2 linked regions of the Daphnia pulex genome follow. The protein of the gene in region 2 purifies or fractionates together with the protein of the main gene of each other region. This does not show direct contact. Links are inferred from orthologs where the notes say so. Each region holds a gene or a part of one and is shown on either strand. Other genes may lie near its edges.

Region 1 (4,679 bases), on a different chromosome or scaffold from region 2:
AAATTACATCTGAATAATATTGGAAAGCCTGTTGCCTGTCTCCTAGGCGATCGAACGTTTCGCCTAGTTTCTGGTGAACGCCTTCGTCGGACGGCACGACCGTATGGACCTGCAAATACCTGGACAAAAGACTTTTTCAATTCAGAGGCTTTCCAAAAGATTTAGGCATTCAAAATAATGTCCACCATTCAATCGCTTGTTCGTCGTTGCCGAGCTCCTCGTTGAGACTGGCGACCTGGAAAAGAACTTCGGGCTGATGACGCAGGACCATCTGCAGTTTGACAAATTGTTCCAGGCTTTTTTCAAGTTGGTTTGTTGATCTGTACGTCAGACCTGCACGTTCAAATTGTCATACCCATTCTTTAGGAAAACGGACCAGATTGAATTGAATGCGTCATTTTTTCTTTACCGAGATTGTACAGGGCTTCCACACAAGCAGCGTCATTATCCAAAGCGAAAAGGAAAAAATCGCGAGCTTTATTGTAATCCGCTCGGCGGAGTGAACAATTGCCTAAGCAGACGAAGGCGGCCGCATTGTAAGGATCCGAATCTCTAGCCACTTCGGCGTATTTTTCAGCGCTGGCTATGTCACCTTGCTGAATCATATCGTTAGTAAAAAAATAGAAAAAGAAAAGAAAAAAACGGAATTAGTTTACGATTGTGTAAATTTATGCAGTAGGCGTTGAACGTACTAGGTAATAAATTGTCGACAGGTTGACAGCTGCGTTGGTAGCCATTCTGCTGGATCGTTTTTCAAAGCTCCTCAGCGTTTCGGTAGCCAGGGCCACGTCCTTTTGGCGTAGAAAGAGTACGGCTTTATTGATCTCCAAATCGTCTGCCAGATGATTGTGGGTTGACTCTTTGATGGCCTCGACGCACCTGGACATAAATCATTGTTATTTATCAAACATCCCCCCACGACGGATTTGAATAAATTATACAACTTACCACTGGTAGCCAACACTAAAAGTATCTTCGATCACAGGCGAGATTAACTTGGCGGCCATCAATATGCACCTTTCACCTTCAAATTTGGCCTGACGCTCCAAACGGTGTAACGAATCGTTATTCAACGCTTCACGCAACGAATTCCACTGGGCGTCACCCTGTGCAAACATCATTTATCCAGGAGAGGGGGAAGAAGAAAAATAAACAAAACAACAGAACTGAGCACACGAGATTATTCAAATTGAGAATGAGGCAGAGCATCTTATTAACCTCCGGCACCAGTTTATCAAAATCGTCCGACTCGGCACGAACGTCCAGCAAGCGAAGGAACGATTTGCGCATATTTTCCCGATCTGCCAAGGCGTAGTAGCTGAGCACCATGTGTAAACCTTTGAATGTTTGACGTTTTGGCATCAGGAAAAAGGGTAAAGCAATAAATTTAAACCAATTTGAAATTGACTTACCAGTTTTGAAGTCGGGCTTTTCTTGCATAACAAATTCGAAGCTCGTACAGGCGTCGTTGTACTGCCCCATTTTGATAAACAGCAAGCCAATGTTCTGCATTATTTTCGTCCTAATAAGGAATTCGTTTAGCAAGAGTAATCGAGAATTAGTTCTAAAACAAATAATGAAAATGTTATTACAGCCATTTACACTACCTTAATGTTGTAAAGTGAGCCGGAACTTGATCTAAAGCCATTCGATACTGCTTGAGTGAGAGCGCGTACTGTCCCAGACGAAAATGTAAATTGGCGGTATTGAGTCGCAGTCGACCGATGTTGGCGAAAGAACGATTTTTAATTAGCTGCTGATAGGACGACATGGCTTCTGAAAACAGTCCGTTACCGACGTACTGATTCGCTAGGTTGAACAGCACCTGTTTATTCGAAAATTCTTCGTATTAGTAAAAAACATGGAATAGCAAATTTTTTAAAGCAAATCAAGGCGCAGATCGTAATTACCATGAAAGCGAGGTCGCTATTCGATTCCCCCATGCCGGATTGCTCCTTTTGACGTATAAGACTTCGTTCTTTATTGACCGCTTCTTTGGCCTTGTCTAGTGCCACTCTAAATTCCTCTTTACTGTGAGCCACAATTGATTCTTCTATAATTTGTTGTATGCTACTTTCCAGCATTTTCATCTGCTTTTCTGGCCTGTGTAAGATTATAATGAATTTTGTGTAATAAGTTTGGGTTGACAACAAAAGCTACATACGGATCAACAGCTTTAGGTTCTGAAAATGGTGTTGTAACCCTGCCAGATTGATTCAAAGGATCGTAGACCTGACTGGCTGTTGCCAATCTTGATGAAGTATATCCTGCTCCACGAATTGCAGTTACTGGTCTGGCAACTGCAGTTGGAACCCCACCACGAGATGCTGTAACCACTCTTGATTGCTAATATCAAGTGCAATTGATGATAAATAAATGAAAATTGATATTTGGAAATCTTATTAATGTACCACTAAACAAATGAATAAAACCGCTGAGACATTTTACATAGTCTTGTTAACATTACCTGCATCTGTAGCATTGACTGCTGGTTTTTAACATCTCTAGATAGGGAGTCTTGAATGAGGCTAGATGTGTTCAGTGTAGGATGAAATTCATTGAATCCAGAATAAAGATCATCTTCATCATACGTTTCCATGTTATACTTATCCATATTATATCACTGAAAGATATGATCACTTCTAAGTAGTAATATGTAAGGTCAAAACAAACAATCACCATAGCAACTGTGTAACTCATTCCATTGTTGAACAATCTGACAGTACCCAAATTGCAGCCAGAAATAGCTTCTTTGATGATGACAGCCATATTAGCAATATTCTCAGCTATGAAATGTAATTAAACTTGTTACAATTTCTCCTAACCCATTGTTGAAAACAGGTTGATATGATTTTAACCACCGGTGCAACTTATGCTCGCTTATGCTTCTGAATTCCTATCAGAGGTAGTAGTAGACTAGTAGTAATGATTCTAAAAGGATTGGGCATCTTGGAAAATTTTTCAGCCTTGCAGCTGTATTCCTCCATTCATTTTTTATCCAGATAAGAAAATGAACTCCAAAAAATAACGACATTCCATTGCTAAATGACAACAGTCAACTGCTGTTTGTCTTTGTCAGCTAGGTGAGCTAGCCGCCCTAGCCCTAGCAGACAATGTTTTTCTAAAATACAACGTTGCTGTTATTTCCCTGATAGAAAACGACGAGCAGTCGGGGGGTGGGTGGGTAAGTCGAATAAGGCGCCGCTTAGTGAGTGATCGGGGCACTTTGGCAGAGTGATAGACTGATAGAGACTATGGTGATATTGGTGAAGCGACGCTGTAGGAATTCTCCATCATCTTATTATCTATTATCCATTACCTCTATCATCACAGATTATCTGTAAGTTATGTTATTAGCGCCACAAAAAAGAAACGTTTAACAGTAACATGAAAAAAATGTCCGCTCTACACCCTGGTTGACACTCAATTGCAAGAATAACTAACAATCAAAGACTTTGATACTCACATAATATTCTCCCCTTTCAATTTGTATCTCGTCTTCACCCAAAAATGAAAAATTCACCACCGCAGCATCACAGCACATCACAACAGACGAAATCCCCCCATTGCTTCTACAATGAGAGGAAGGCAGCATGACATTCGCTTTTGTGTCTCATCTGTTACTGTTAGTGATTCCAGATTGTTGACGAAATATCGTCGAGCTACCTCTACGTATCACCCTTTTAGCTTTAGTCCTGTCATTCTGAACTGAGCCTTACCTGTGATTAATCTTTCTTTCTTCTAATTAGGTTCGATGGCCATTGATGATTAGTGAGCAGCATAGGAATGCGACAGCTTTGTCTGGGTCTGGGCTAAATGCCCTACTAGATAGAATCCTCTTGGGAAACTTCGCTGCTCCTAAGTTACACAATACACCTCTTAAGCTACTTCCAAAAAGCAAAACAAATTTAGATTAGGATTTTGAGGTAAGTTTAACTGTTTTTAATTAATAACAATTACAACATAATTTAGCTATTGGTTCTAATTGCATTCTTGTACACTGTAAATTTAAATTTGTTGATTAATTTCCCTGCTATAATGCAATATATTTTATTAGTTTATGTTCAGGTGGGAGATCCATTTGCTTGTCTATCAAATAATTTGAGATCACAACAAAGTCTGAGCTTCATTGCTGTCATGCAGATGGTTTCATTGCAACCACCCGGTGAAAAAGGAGTTCAAGTTGAGCTGCAGCTGCTGCAAGCAGTCTGTAGCGGTGATGTCATCCTGAAGTGTTCTCAATGTGTCAGTCTAGGCTGAAGCTAATTAAAGTGTGTTGTTCACTTGTGAGTGTTAAAAGTATTAATTTGCATCTATTAAAGCGACTATGTGAAGTGTATACTAATAACTGTTAAATTAATCTTTTAGATCATTTTAGACGTCAAGCACATTAACAAGAAATTATAAACAAGATGCCTTTCTTTTTTTTATATATTTGCAGGGTCTAAACTACATCTCTCTAAATTTGCATACCAGACCTTATGAGAAGTCATATCGTTTGAAGAAGGACGACGACTACACAGTCAACAAGGTCCCATGTTTGAAAACCCGTTAACTGCTACCTGTGAATCTCCCTTTTTACTTCCTTAAACGGACCCTCTTAATTGAGGTATTGCTTGCTGTCGCTAAAATCTTATTTAAAATTATTGTCATCCAAATAAATGTTCATTCTGCTTACA
Region 2 (4,205 bases):
ACATTCATGTAATTTAAGTGCTATTGCTTCAACTTTGTGTTCATCATTGTAGAACCAACGTTTCTCTTCCCCGTTCACGCCGGACTGTTCCTTCCTGTAATTTATTTTTCTCCAGGCAAAGCATTTTGACTCGGAATATCCTAGAAGTCAAAGTCAATCATTTTAATTATGACTTTAACTAAAATATAAGAAAGGCAAACAAACTTAATTTATACTTTTCTATTTTCTCCCAGTATTTGATCTGCTGCTCCATTTGCGGAAGGTTATCTCTAAGCTGTTTCTGATCTTGACGCAGTTGAGCGTTGAGCTTCTCCTGTTCCGCAATTTTATGCTGAAGTTGATCCCGAACGGATTTCCCGCGTTCAGTCTGTTGCTGTTGAACGCCGCTGACGTACAGTTTCATCTCGTCGGTGGCCCTCTGTAGGTATTTTTCATTTTTCGTTAGGTTAGCTTCCAGCTGACGGCATCGTTCTTCTAGCGTGACAATCTCATTCTCCAAACCGCTTTTCACCTGTCGTTACAAATATTTCATTGACTTACCGAGTCTAACATGACATGCCAACCGGACCAAAATCAAACGGTTTACGTTTACTATCGACGAGATGGTATCCTCGATTAGCTGAACCTGTGCGTCATATTCTTTTTTCTTAGCTTCGTATTCGGGCAATGTTTCTTGGTAAGTTTGTCTTAGAGGTCGTAATTCTGTTTTTAACAAAATTTTGAGCTGTGATTAGTACCATTTTAATTGATTTGAACGCAAAGGACAGACCTCGGAGAAGTGGAGCGAGAGCGACCTTCTTGTCGTTGATCTTAGAATTCAGAAGGCGGACGAGATTAGACATTTCTTCTAGAGTACGGCCTTTCTCTTCGTCTGTGTTGGCCTTTTCGTCCGAAATTCGCTCGAGAAGATCCCTCGTTTCGCGGAATCCTCTGACACCTTGTTGCGTTTCGATACGGTCGAGACTGTCGCTCAGTGCTCCTTCCTGAGCCCTGAGAATTTCCAGTGTCCGGCTCAGAATGCCGTATTCGGCTTTAAGGTCATTCAACTCGGCTCGTCGCTGTTTGTACACGTTACTTTTGACGCGCAAATCGCTAACATAAGCCTTGAATTGCTCACCAGTTAGTAATGCGTCGGAATTTTCACCCAATTGTTGTTTTTTGGCCTAAATGATATTGACATTGATTATCTTCGATGTTTAAAATCGTGTTTTTCAATTTAAACCTGAAGTTGGGCCTCCAGTGCCGTCATTTCCTGAATGACGTGATTTAATCTCTCAGCGCAGGCTTCTTTTTTCCGGGACATGATAAGCGACTGTTGTCTGTAAAGCGCCATACCGTCTTCTATCGGATCGTTCTGCAAGGCTCTTTTCTCCGTTAGCTGAGCAATTTGACTACGAAGTTCATCGCTCTAGATAACGACAACAAAATGTTCAAATCAAACTAGCCGCCAAGGCATTCACTTTTAACTGTTTTCACCTTCTGGACGACAAGTTGAAGATCCGCTGAAGTTGGATTGGGCGGCGCTAAGACTTTCTCCATCAAAGCTATGCTAGCTGTTATTTGCTGGGTTTCCTTAGTTAGCTTTTCGTTGATCATGTATTGATTGACTCGAATGGCGTCTTCAGCACGCTGTATCAAACTCTGCCCACTCGCGTTGACTTTACTTTGACGCATGTCCATCAGTTGATGAGTTAGACGTTGGCGACGAGCTTCCAAGTGGCTGAGGTAACTCTTTTGGTCGTCTTTCTGCGTTTGAAACTCGCGGCTCTTCTCTTTCTCGGCGCGCAGCTTTTTCGCCATGGAAAGTAGTTGGTTATAATTCGCCACACCCTCCACCTTGCAGTACGTGAAATAAAGTTAAAATAAGGAATAATAAAGGAAACCCCGCTGCTGGAAAAAATATGCTCACTTTGCGTTGTGTGCGTTCAATTCGACGGATCAAAACTTCTCTGTCATCTTCCATTGATTGGAGATCTTTTCTTAGATCGGATACAGTGTCATTTACAGCTTGGCTGGTGTCGAATTGTTTGTGTCGCTGTTTAAACTCTTCAATCAGGAATTCGTACTGTAATCAACCAGTGTAGTATAGATTTTAAAATGGTGTTTTATTTTTCAATAGAATTTCCTAATAATTACTCCTTACCTGTTCATAAAGATCAATAACATCACTGTCTGACCGCATTTCAGGCGCGATATCAATCTTGACCAAGTAGCGTGACAAGTAAGCTCGTTTCTTCAGGTCCTCCCTACGCTGCAGTAGCCAGTTAAGTATCGGGTTGATGGTTTCCGGTCTACCAGCGATCAAACCTTCACGGAATTCATTTCTATGAATTTAGTAAAAAAAAAAAAACATGTGTATCAGTGATTCCCGTTTGTAGACTCTCAAAATAAACTTACGGATCTTCCGTTTCAGGTTTGAATTTGAAAATTTGTAACGAGGTCAGTAAACGCAAAGCCAACGCATCGACTGGCTCGTCGTTGATATCGACCCGAGTTTTCGATTCAATTTCGCACAAGACATCGCTTAAAAGCTATTGAATTCCCGTATATAATTTGGGTTTTTTAAAGAGATTTAGATTATACTTTCAATTTTACTTGTAGTGGTCTGAACGAATTTTACCTGTAACAGCTGAGGAGGGTGAAGGGCGTTGAAAGTGATGTTAGTTAGATTTAAATTAAAAGGTGGTTGGTTTAGTTCGATCACAATGATTTTGACTAGCTGCTGCGTCATTCTACAAAGCCTTTTTGATTGAAATCACTGAGAAGAAGTACGTGTGATTTGCAACGACGTGTTTGACGTGTCCTGTTTGTTTTTATTGTTGCGTAACCATGGCAACGTAAAAAGTCCAAAATATTGACACACTAAAGTAAACAAAACCATTTCCGACTACTAATTTCAAATTAAATTTTATTGTGGACTTTGCAGCAATAAAATGATGCCATACAAATTATCCAAGAAAGGGTAAACTAGAATTTGCAGCGCCATTTCCAGATTGAACAAACTCGACCAAAGCATGCCAAGCGCTTAAGCCCTTTTGTTTCGCCTGATGTAAAACGTTGATGGAATCAAGAAATGCCCATCCTAATCCAGTCCTGGGAACATTGGAGTTACATTTGTTCCAAAATCCGCACTGCTGGCCGACGACCGTCATGTTCAGCGACATACCGGATACATTAGGATAGACGTTGCCTTCTCTGCTCCCGTAGTATGTGTGATTTCGATGGTCGAGCTGCATCACGTAAGGCAATGGATACTCGGAGAAACAGTCACGAATGAAGGCGAATTCGAATTGTTTGATGCGGCCGGAATTCATGTAAGAAAAGATTATGTGAAGCGTTCCGCAATAGCCCTGGCCTGGTGAGCAGGTTTTGACGTGTGCGTTATTTGGCCTGAATCTTTGATCCTGTCCACAAGGATCGTCAACAAGAGACGGTCCGTCTGCACGCGAGATCCAGCTGCAATGATAACACTCCATTGGAGCGGATGATGATGTGTAATACTGAGCAAGACAAACGATAACTGCCATGAAAGTTAAAATTAACAGGATGACTGGAATTTTCCAAAAATTTGACCGAACGACTGGCCTTTCTCCAGAAGTACTCCTCTTAATTTTCTTTTCTCCTTTTCTCGTCATTTTAACTCAGGACTTTAACTTATTGAATCTTATCAGTAGTTAGTTCTACAACCTTCAGATATGATCGTTAATCTCCAACTGAATGTAATGTTCCTCATTCTCACCAAATAACTCACTTTCCCTGTGAATTGAAATATAGAGGGAGGAAGAAGGGAAATCAAAGAATTCCTTTCCTTGTGGCTTTGAAGGCCAATTTTAAACTTTCAAGCCAACGATCTTCTTCGCTCTTAATTTCAAAAGCTCGGAAATTGCGATAGCAGGAAATAGTTTAGGTTTAGGCAACACCATTCCAATAATGTTGTTGAAACCCAGAAATTTATAAACACGTGAAATTCGTCTGCTTCAAAATCCCACTTGGTCGAGACTCGACTCGTACGATTTACTCTTCCAGAAAGAAAATGTTTCGATTTTCACGAAGAATTTTTGGTCGAAAACATGGAGGAAAAACAAAATTTTCGTCCACAACATCAACAACGGCAAATCCAGTGCCAGTTCCACCGACACCCGTCGAAGAAAAAGTATCCAAGATGGATCAGTGGAGTAAGACTTGAGAAACATGACTTCGGCATT

The links. The genes of interacting proteins can lie anywhere in the genome.
Region 1: the proteins of intraflagellar transport protein 81 homolog (region 2) and intraflagellar transport protein 88 homolog fractionate together in Homo sapiens (co-fractionation; 3 studies listed by BioGRID and IntAct, with this or other methods). This does not show direct contact. The link is inferred for Daphnia pulex from reciprocal best matches to the Homo sapiens genes IFT81 and IFT88.

The regions. Positions count from the first base shown.
Region 1 is NC_060019.1:9,737,381-9,742,059, reverse strand, and holds the start of intraflagellar transport protein 88 homolog, read right to left. Parts: upstream 3,093-4,679; 5' UTR 2,727-3,092; intron 2,643-2,726; 5' UTR 2,615-2,642; coding exon 2,468-2,614; intron 2,347-2,467; coding exon 2,165-2,346; intron 2,104-2,164; coding exon 1,911-2,103; intron 1,826-1,910; coding exon 1,608-1,825; intron 1,523-1,607; coding exon 1,413-1,522; intron 1,338-1,412; coding exon 1,219-1,337; intron 1,107-1,218; coding exon 949-1,106; intron 880-948; coding exon 693-879; intron 597-692; coding exon 410-596; intron 334-409; coding exon 186-333; intron 120-185; coding exon 8-119; intron 1-7. UniProt on the Homo sapiens protein: Positively regulates primary cilium biogenesis. Also involved in autophagy since it is required for trafficking of ATG16L and the expansion of the autophagic compartment.
Region 2 is NC_060027.1:3,610,346-3,614,550, forward strand, and holds the start of intraflagellar transport protein 81 homolog, read right to left. Parts: upstream 2,801-4,205; 5' UTR 2,732-2,800; coding exon 2,621-2,731; intron 2,532-2,620; coding exon 2,398-2,531; intron 2,325-2,397; coding exon 2,144-2,324; intron 2,066-2,143; coding exon 1,910-2,065; intron 1,837-1,909; coding exon 1,477-1,836; intron 1,409-1,476; coding exon 1,223-1,408; intron 1,164-1,222; coding exon 770-1,163; intron 703-769; coding exon 587-702; intron 512-586; coding exon 216-511; intron 141-215; coding exon 44-140; 3' UTR 1-43. Other genes in the region: mitochondrial import inner membrane translocase subunit Tim29-like, read left to right, coding at 4,163-4,175. UniProt on the Homo sapiens protein: Component of the intraflagellar transport (IFT) complex B: together with IFT74, forms a tubulin-binding module that specifically mediates transport of tubulin within the cilium. Binds tubulin via its CH (calponin-homology)-like region.